3 linked regions of the Tribolium castaneum genome follow. The protein of the gene in region 1 purifies or fractionates together with the protein of each later gene. This does not show direct contact. Links are inferred from orthologs where the notes say so. Each region holds a gene or a part of one and is shown in the gene's direction. Other genes may lie near its edges.

Region 1 (3,761 bases):
TATGGAAGATTGTCACGATATATTTCTAGCACCGTATAACTGGGACTATGATAATCTCGAGTCTGATTTTAAAAATTCAGGGTTGGATCGAAACACAAATAATTGGAAATGTGTTGATGATTTCAACTGGTTGAATGTTGAAAGACAATCTCCAAATTGGTCGTTGTTAGATGAAGGGAAACTTGTAAAAAATTGGGATAATTCATAACGTAGTAATAAAAATTCGTAGTTTATTATGTTTTTGGAGCCCCGTAAGCATCAGGCATGCGTTCAATTGTATACCTATGTTGTGCAACATACATGATGGGAACACCCGGAATTTTCCGAATTCTGCGTTTCAAATCCTTATCATTCGTCGCAACAATGTAACACTTGTGTTGGGTGACCCTCTGGACTAGGCAATCATCAGCGTACGTCCCTTTATGCATGCACTTAATCCTCTCAAACCTCGGATCCTTTATTATCCTCAACGCCACTTTATACTTCTGACCTAATTTCTCTAATTCGCCCAAAACACAATCCGTAATATACGGAATACACTTAGCATACAAGCAGTCCATCATATTCTGAATAATATCCAACTTGTTCTTGATCGAAAAATTAATAAAGTTCGTATCAACCAAAATGTGATATGGAGGCCCCAGTTGGGTGTTGTATTGGAAAAAGAGCGCCGAACTAACTTGGGGCACCTCACGCACTTTCATTTCGTGTGGATCTTCGGGTTTTTTCTTGCGAGGAGGGGCCCTCTGGCTGGCTTTTATGCGAGGGTCGCTGGGACTGATCATTGTTTTCATTTTTGCAAACCGCTTCTGGGCGATTTTTCGCGTCTTCTTCGCCTTACCCTAAAAAACATTTCTATACGCTGTGCAAACACCAAAGCGAACTTTTTACCATCTTTTATTTTAAAATAAACACATGTAGAAAAAGTCAGGTTAAATATGCGTTGCCAACATTACAACACTAAATAAACAATCAGGGAGAGGTGAATAAATTAAATCCAAAATAATTGTTTGTGTGAAAAAACTGTTCCACTGACTCGAAATTTTTAAAAGGCGACATTGTGAGCGTGAGCCGTGAGTGTTATTTTTAAATTTATGATGCGAATTTGAGTGAGGTTAAGGCGGGCGTTGCCAACATTCTGGTTGATTTGTCCCCAAAAATTATGCTAGGAGAATAATTTATTAATTTGCTTCCAAATCCGTTTTTCCAGTGAAAAACAGTATTTTCGTGACGAAAACTCTGAAAGAGAACAATCAAGGAATGTTATTTTGTGTTTGTATGGTCTGAGTTCAAGTTTTTAAAAATTATAACCGTTTATGCTAAATGTTGACTATGATTTTATTGTTCAGTTAATTAGTTCGTTAATTAAAAAAGTGTAAAGACAACAAGTACCAAAATGGATCAAATGTTGCCAAGCCCCGGTTTCAGCATTCCTAGCATAGGTAAGTCTCGATTTTTCCTTCACACTTCCTTAGTGAGGCTTTAGGAACCCCCTTGCACCAGCCCGAGGAAGATCAGATGATTTTGCCCAATGCTCTGCAGCAACAACAGCAGCAGCAACCTTCCACAACATCACAGTCCCAACAAGTCCCGCCTTTGGCCCCAATGGGAGCCCTAACACCAACTCTGGGGTTGGGCATGGGCATGTCCATGCCCCATACGAAATATGCGGGCTTCGCCCTCCCCATCACGAGTATCCAGTCACAAACACCAGTACGTAACTAAATTATTGAATAATTGGAACGTTTAATTAAAATTTTAGCAACACACTATGATGTCCCCTATGGTGAATTTGGGGGGCTCAAGTGGTGCAGCGAACACCCCGTCGATGGGCCCCGCGACGCCGTCGCCCCTGACACCGATGACCCCGCATTCGGCCGACCCCAACATTGTCCCCCAATTACAGTAACAGTCCAAACTTTAGTAAAATTAGTTTGAATATTTTTTGCAGAAATATTGTCTCCACAGTTAACCTCAGCTGCAAGTTAGACTTGAAAAAAATCGCCCTTCACGCACGTAACGCTGAGTACAACCCCAAACGTTTCGCTGCAGTTATAATGAGAATCAGGGAGCCCCGAACTACTGCTCTTATTTTCTCTTCGGGAAAAATGGTCTGCACGGGGGCTAAAAGCGAGGACGACTCCAGACTAGCAGCGAGGAAATATGCGAGAATTATCCAAAAGCTGGGCTTCCCCGCGAAATTTTTAGACTTCAAGATTCAAAATATGGTGGGAAGTTGCGACGTTAAATTTCCGATCAGATTGGAAGGACTTGTCCTCACGCACAGTTCCTTCAGTTCGTATGAACCCGAGTTATTCCCCGGTTTAATTTACAGAATGGTTAAGCCCAGAATTGTACTACTTATTTTTGTCTCGGGTAAAGTTGTCTTGACTGGCGCCAAAATCAGGCAGGAGATTTACGAAGCCTTTGATAATATTTATCCAATCCTGAAAAGCTTCAAAAAGCAATAATTGCTTCATGTGCTACGTTTAATTGTTGACTGTAAGTGGGCCTTTTATATTGTTAATAGACGAGAATCAAAAATTGCTTTTATTTTTCCTTTTGACAAGTCCAATCTAACCTCAAAATTAGTTTTTTTACATTATTAATACATTATGCTGCACTAGAATACAATCAATCGAAAGGGAATGGAAAATTCCGCTCAGTACTTAAGTTCAAAACTGATAAGTAAATAATTAATTAAAGTTGATTATGGTTTACGAAAATTCAAATTTTTGCCACATAACCTCAAATTTTTTGCCAAAAAGAAAAAACTCGCTCGTTTTTGTCTTAAATGAAGAACAATAAACTCTAAAAAAGTGGAAGAATATCAGAAGACGGTACAAATTCCACGCCTTGTAAATACTGGAACTGATAAAAAGCGATGTCAAATTCCAACATGTTCAAGTAATTATTTTAATCTCTACAGTTCGGCGTAAAATAACAACAATGCCCATTTTACCAGGTGAGGCCACACGCCAATAATTGCGTTACTAATCGTAATTTTATCAGATAAAGTGCGAAATTTGGTGAAGAATGTTAGAAGTATGTTCCTAAAATGGTCAGTGCAAAGACCGATTTTGTCCATGTCTTTGGTGGTGATTTTGGCCGTTATCCTGCTCCCCGTGGTCACAGCAGCCACCCTAATGCCCGTTGCGCTATTGCTCACTTACACGGGAATTTTGGCGTCACAGGGAATTTTTTACATAACTTACAACATATTTATCCAAGGAATGCTACTAGCTATGGTAATTGTAGCCTTATTCGTTGTTGGTTTTACAATTGCAACAAGCGCGAGTGTTTTCCATTCATATACAATATTTAAAACGGTTACCATAAAGAAAAAGCAATAAATTTAAGTTTTTATTCGTTTTTATGTGCCATTTTTTCCATTAATGCCCATAATTTTCGTACTACTTGTTCCTCGCCTATTTCACCATAATTGAAGACTTCATAGTTTGGAGGGTTCGTCCGTACCATATCTGTTAGTTTATAAGGAATAAAGTTGTTAAAATGAACGGCTTGGTTTTTTTTTTAGAAAGGATACAGCCTGTGTTAGGTCTTGTATAATCAAATTGTGTTGCAGTTAATAACTTATACAAATATAAGGAGAGCCTGAAATAAATTCATTAGAGACCAACGTAAGAGTCATTTAAATTTCATACTTTAGGCTCTTAAGATTTTGCAGCTTATGATTATAAGTTTCGCACCGTTTTGTTGTTTCCCGGAGTTTATTTTTCTTTGCACCAAATTCGGTAGTT
Region 2 (2,340 bases), about 6.3 Mb from region 1:
GGTGCATTTTATTTTTGTCACGTATTTTTTTTATTTCCAATAATTACCAATAATTCTTTTATTTCCCTCATTTTCTAATAATCATTGTTTACCTCATCCTTATATCCTTTTTTCCTGGCAAGAATGCTCTAAACCTCCACGTGGTTCTTGCTGGACAAGTTAGTTATTAATTTGACTAATTAGAGCAATCCTTAAATACGATTTTTTTTTAAATTCGTTAAGATCCTAAGGGTCGTTTGTCCGAACATGATTTTCATACAGTCGAAGGCCCTATTAGAGGGCTTGATTTCCTACAAAAATAAAGAAAATTGCAGTATATAAAAGGGATGAAAAAAAATAAAGTTTTCGAAATAGGAGAATTTTAAAGAATCTTTAAAAATTCATTAAGGTCTCAAGGGGTGTTTGTCCGAACATGATTTTTTTACAGTCGAAGGCGCAATCAGAGGGCTTAATCTCTTGCAAAAATAAAGAAAATTGCGGGATATAAAAGGGGTGAAAAAAAAATAAAGCTTGCAAAATAGAAAAATCTTAAAGAATCTTAAAAAATTCATAAGGTCCCAAAGGGTGTTTGTTCGAACATGATTTTTTCACAATCGAAGGCCCTATCGAAGGGCTTAATCTCCTGCAAAAATAAAGAAAATTGCAGGATTTAAAGAGTGTGAAAAAAATCGGTTTGCAATGCTTGAATATGAAAATAAAAAATTCAGAAATTAAATGCAGTCAAGTTTAATTTTTAATAGAATCACATTACAATGGTCAAAAGATGATTTACGATTATTTTGATAATTTTCTTGGTGCAAGCTCCATGCGCGCAGAGATTGTCTGGTCGACTGTAATGTTCATAGTGGCGGCACCATTTTTGGTGCTATTTTCACCGATATGTCATCGTGACGAACTGTCATCGAAGTGACAACAAAAAACTAGAAAGTTGGTTATTAAACCAAATCCCCTTAATTTAACTCACGTTTCGTGCAAATAATTTAATAATCAAAGTGGGTGACTAGCAATGGAGTGCCCCAATCAGTAATTTCCCCACTTTGTTGACTTCAACATAACCCTACTTTCGCCATGTCTGTGCCCAACTTGACCAACAACCTAATCCAGCCACAGAACATCGTAATCAACCAAGTGCCCATCCCTCACACCATCATGACGAACGTCAATGCAAACAACGGAATTCCGCTCACTGCCCTATCGCACGCCCCTGCTTCAGTCGACCAGTCAAGCGACATGAAGCCTGGCATAGTCGTGGAGACGATCCCCATGGCGGGGGCAAGCCTCGTCGGCGTCCAGACCATGCAAACCCCAATCAAGACCATCCAGGGTTCGGACCATGCCCAAATCTTGACAAAACAGCGACTCCAAGACCTGGTGCGCGACACCGACTCCACTCTCAACCTCGAGGACGAGGTCGAGGAAATTATTCTGAACTACGTGGACGAGTTTGTGGACCGGTGCCTCAACGGGGCCGCCCTCATTGCGAAAAACCGGCGCGTCAACACGATCGAAGTCAAGGATGTTCAGCAGTTTTTGAATAGGAATTACAATATGTGGACCCCCGGGTTCGGAACGGACGAGCTGAGGCCGTACAAGAGGAGTCTGACGACGGAGGCGCACAAGCAGCGCCTGGCGTTGATCAGAAAGACGTTGAAGAAATATTAAGATTGTTTATTTTTTTTTTGTAAATAAAAGACGGTTCACAGTCAGAATATTTATTGCTATATTTAACCAATAGTATAATACAAATAGTAAAAATACAGCCCGTGAAATTCTCGCACTCCTTACGCTAATTACGTTCGCCATTTCCTTGGGAAAAAGGATTTCTTGAGATTGTTCCCAAAAACCATTGCTGTTGCCCCATAAACACTAACAAATATAAAATTTATGTAACCGCAACGTAATATAAATGTTATATTACGCAAAACAAGTTTTATTGTGTTTGATGGAACCACAGCTTCCTTAGTTTTTGCCACGTTAGACACAACGGGTGAAGGGACACTTCGTTCATTGGCCAAGGAAGCTGCGGATGGAACATTCCGTTCTTACAATAACCGTCAAATATTCAAAAAAATCACCCCTTAGAGAGTTATAACAATTACAATATTTTTTATGAATCCTGGTCATATTCAGGATGTGTCGCAATAACTACATCTAACAATATTCACTTTAACATTATTACATTATATGTGCATGAGTTAAAATATCGTGCCCTGGCCCCATTACTGCTTGCCCAGCTTGTGTTTGCAAGGGTTGGGGTCGGGGTAGGCCTCCCTTGGAGGTATGAAGCTCAGCATCATAATGTGCCGTACGTAGGCCCTCGATGACCGGAAGTTGGTATCG
Region 3 (3,761 bases), on another chromosome or scaffold:
TTAAATCTGAGGAATTTCCACATATTAATAATAATAACAGAAATATAACTTGAGAAAGTCATAGCTGGAACAACCTGTATATGATTCATGCAAAAAATTATAGACAGTTCTCTCAACAACTGGAAAAACAGTTAATTAACCGACATGCAATGTCCATCACCTGATCGGTAATTTATTTAAAACGGTTCAAAACAAAGAACAATGCAACAACAAAAAACCGACCTCATCCCAAACATTTAAAACGCAACTTATTAAACCAAACATTAATTCATTCTGTGACGGAAATTAATTAAATTTGTTGTGTGGGTGTAAAAAATCAATATCAATTAACTCCGATTTATAATTAGTACAAAATGTCTCGTCCCATCTTATTGTTTTTTTTTTCTTTCACGAAAATTGCATCTGAAACCTTTCACATAAAGCTTTATAGATTTTCCCCTTTTCAGTAGCAATAACACTGACGTTTATTTCTACAGTCCCGACAAACTTTACGATTTTCGTTTTTCTTCTGCAATGTGCACTTAGCTCTCGTGCAATTTTACATCCCCAATTCCCACCGTACGAACTTTATGCACCTGCTGTAAATTTTCATCCCTTTTACACAGCTCCCACCAGTCTGTTTCTTTCATTTTTAATAAGTCTGGCGAGGGGCAATTCCGCTAATGGTAAGACTGTTTGATATACAAAAATCGAAAATAATCAAATATTTTTTTTGCTCTGCATCAACATCTATTATTACTACGTATCGCTACGTAGAAACAATCATCTTATTTACGAAAAGTTATACATAATACAAAAAAAAAATTGTACCTAACTCGCAATTCATGCAGCACTCGCTAGGCTCGTGCCGTAAATCACCAATATCCCACCTAACATTTTGTGCAGTTAATAGTAGTTTATTTGAAGTCTCACAAAAAAGAAATTTCGAAAGATAACTTGTATTATAAAGAAGTTGTGTGCTACAAATATGTCCCCAGGTCAAAGTTTGTAATTTTATTATTTTCTAAATTAATCAATAAATGTTTCATTTAATAACTGTTGTCATAAGCAGGGGTGGCCAAAATTAAGTAATAGATCTAAATAATTTTAAAAAAACTTTAGGTACTTGTGACCCTTGAAGTCCCCACAAATTGTAGCAAATAACTGAGCATTTTTTCAGGGAAATAATCTAAACGTGGAATCGCGACTCACCTTCTTGGTTTAGCGGGGTAATGGTGGTGGTTGAAGTGGGAGCCAGTGCAAGAAAATTGGGGCACAGCAAGCCCCATCCAACGCTCTAAGGCCCCCTGCGTGCAGTCGGCGAGCACCTGCGTGAAAAAATTCAAAATAGCCACAATTTCGTGCCTTTCCAAGCGTTCCCAGCTAACGGTTTCGCACACAATGCTGTGGACGCTTGGGTGATCAAGGGGGCTCCAGGCCCGATTTGACATTTTGACAGTTGTCATCCAGCAAACAAAAGCCACCAACTGGGATACTTACAACGTGATTTTGTTGCCAAATTCGTACGATTATCACACTAGAACATTGTCAAAAGCGGTTAATTGCGAATTAACTGGTCCCGCAATAAAACAACGAAAAAAAAGCGTTTTTGTGTCGTTCACCGCGACGAATCGACCCGACACGTTATCACAATTTTTATCACTGCGAATTGGGCCTCAAACTCGAGAGAAATTCATCGTTTCATTTACTTCGCCTTATTTTACACACAATAAACAAAATTATTGTCAAATATGAGTGTGATATATTGACTGGAATTTGACACTGGCGCCACCTCAGATTTGCACGGAACTACAGAACTACCAGTAGAGGGAGCAGCGATCGCTCATTTTTTCTGTCAAAATTAACACATAACCTTACTTCATTTCCAAAAAAATAAATAGATAATGTGAAAAAAAGACACAATGGACAACATTTTTGCGAAACCTCCAGCCTCCACGAGTCAAATCATCAAAGCTGACCCCAACTACGAGTCCATGGACGAAGACGACGACTCCACTGTGGAGACAGTCAAAGTCGAGGAGACCCAGCTCACGTCTGAAATTCACATCAAAGACGAAGAAAATGTGTACCTGGAGTCGGATATAATAATGCCGGAAGCCCCTCAAAGTAGCAGCGCTCCGGCTAAGAAGAAAGAGGTGAAGACTAGGAAGGAGATGGAGGAGGAAGAGCGCGAGAAAATGCAGTAAGTTGGTGTAAAGTGGGGTTTACTGAGGGTTTGTTGTAAGGGTTCTAGTCTCGAATTTCACCGAGGATCAGCTGGATCGATATGAGATGTACAGGAGGTCGGCGTTTCCCAAAGCTGCAATTAAAAGGCTGATGCAGACGATTACAGGGTGTTCTGTTTCCCAGAATGTGGTCATTGCTATGGCTGGGATTGCCAAGGTCTTTGTTGGAGAGGTTGTGGAGGAAGGTGAGGATAATTCAAAAAAATATTTTTTTTATTTTCTCTATTACACCAAAACTATTCGAAAATGTGGAATTATTTTGGTCTAAGCCTATGTAAAATGATCCGAGGAATCGATGGGCGCCGAGAAAATCTCCAAATTCCCAATAGTTTTTTAGTTATGATTTTTTTAAGTATTAACCAGACAGCTTTCCAATGAAATTACGTCTAATAGTTTAATTTTTTTTATTTTTGTGAAGATAAGTGCCTTGACCACTAAAATTATGGTAAATTTTAGTTGACAATTGAGACCATCAGCTCGAGATTGAAAATACATTCGGAAGCTCAAATAACGTGAAAATACGTATTAACAACTTTTTTCTACAGTTGCCACTGCTTAAAGCACTCTTTAAGCTGTAAATTTATTATTATTTTTTTGATTAATTCAAAAGAAGTCGATACGAAAAAGCTTACACACCTCTTTCCGGCAGTGGTGTCACTCTAAAAAATTAGTAAAACAGTCCAAAGACTTAGAAATGTCAAACTCTTTTTTTGTGTGCAAAAAAAATCAAACATGTAAGTATTTGTGTAATTAATTATTACGCTCGATAAGACTTTCTTTATGGAATAGTGGTCTAACGAACCATTGCACTGTGGACTATGTAAAAAGTAAAAAAAATAACTATGTAAAATTACAAAAAAGTTAATTCCCTATTTTTTTTAAAATGCCCTTTTGGTTTAGCGAAGAACAGGAAAAAAACATCAATTTGAAGAGTTATAAAAAATTGTCTTGGAGCCGTGCTTTGAAATTTTAGGTCGCAGTTAAACAAAAGTTCTAAGATTATAATTTTGAAAAAAATTTTTCTTTTCTGTGCCCTACTGTTACAATAAAAAACCGATAATAAATAATAAATTCAAGACAATTGGTCGCCTCTAACAATATTTTTAAATAGCAAACAGATATGAGTAAGGAAATGGCAGTAAAAAACAATAAATCATAAACTAGAAGATTTTTCTAAAAGCTTTTTTTGTTTTTGCCCATTTGCCTATTAAGTGCCAATTTTTAAGTTTTTTTAATTTTTGAGTTAAAAGTTGCAACGTCGTAAATTAAAAAAACAAACTTAAACAAACAATGTACAATATTTCTAAATGCCCTTCGTTTTCAGATCAATGATGAATCTATTTTTTTTGATAAAGTCTCAATTGACATATTTTTAAATACAGTACTACTAGAAAAATCATTCTTTGTCACTGTACAATCACATTTTTGCTCACTAATACTCATTTACGTAATTAAAAAATAACTAGGAGCATTGCCGATTTTATAACTCAAGTCGGAGGCAAAATCTATACGTTAAAGATATGAAAATGACATAAT

The links.
Region 2: the proteins of Tbp (region 1) and Taf12 purify together in Drosophila melanogaster (affinity purification with western blotting; 3 studies listed by BioGRID, with this or other methods). This does not show direct contact. The link is inferred for Tribolium castaneum from reciprocal best matches to the Drosophila melanogaster genes Tbp and Taf12.
Region 3: the proteins of Tbp (region 1) and Taf11 purify together in Drosophila melanogaster (affinity purification with western blotting; 3 studies listed by BioGRID, with this or other methods). This does not show direct contact. The link is inferred for Tribolium castaneum from reciprocal best matches to the Drosophila melanogaster genes Tbp and Taf11.

The regions. Positions count from the first base shown.
Region 1 is NC_087402.1:9,986,830-9,990,590, forward strand, and holds Tbp (uncharacterized protein Tbp), read left to right. Parts: upstream 1-1,304; 5' UTR 1,305-1,396; coding exon 1,397-1,442; intron 1,443-1,486; coding exon 1,487-1,713; intron 1,714-1,762; coding exon 1,763-1,905; intron 1,906-1,951; coding exon 1,952-2,471; 3' UTR 2,472-2,965; intron 2,966-3,012; 3' UTR 3,013-3,518; downstream 3,519-3,761. Other genes in the region: Tbcc (tubulin-specific chaperone C), read left to right, coding at 1-208; Bka (rRNA-processing protein FCF1 homolog), read right to left, coding at 234-842, 892-894. UniProt on the Drosophila melanogaster protein: General transcription factor that functions at the core of the DNA-binding multiprotein factor TFIID.
Region 2 is NC_087402.1:3,650,112-3,652,451, forward strand, and holds Taf12 (transcription initiation factor TFIID subunit 12), read left to right. Parts: upstream 1-834; 5' UTR 835-1,068; coding exon 1,069-1,662; 3' UTR 1,663-1,709; downstream 1,710-2,340. Other genes in the region: fatty acid hydroxylase domain-containing protein 2, read right to left, coding at 2,220-2,340. UniProt on the Drosophila melanogaster protein: TFIID is a multimeric protein complex that plays a central role in mediating promoter responses to various activators and repressors.
Region 3 is NC_087394.1:5,384,336-5,388,096, reverse strand, and holds the start of Taf11 (transcription initiation factor TFIID subunit 11), read left to right. Parts: upstream 1-1,473; 5' UTR 1,474-1,901; coding exon 1,902-2,182; intron 2,183-2,225; coding exon 2,226-2,410; intron 2,411-3,761. UniProt on the Drosophila melanogaster protein: The TFIID basal transcription factor complex plays a major role in the initiation of RNA polymerase II (Pol II)-dependent transcription.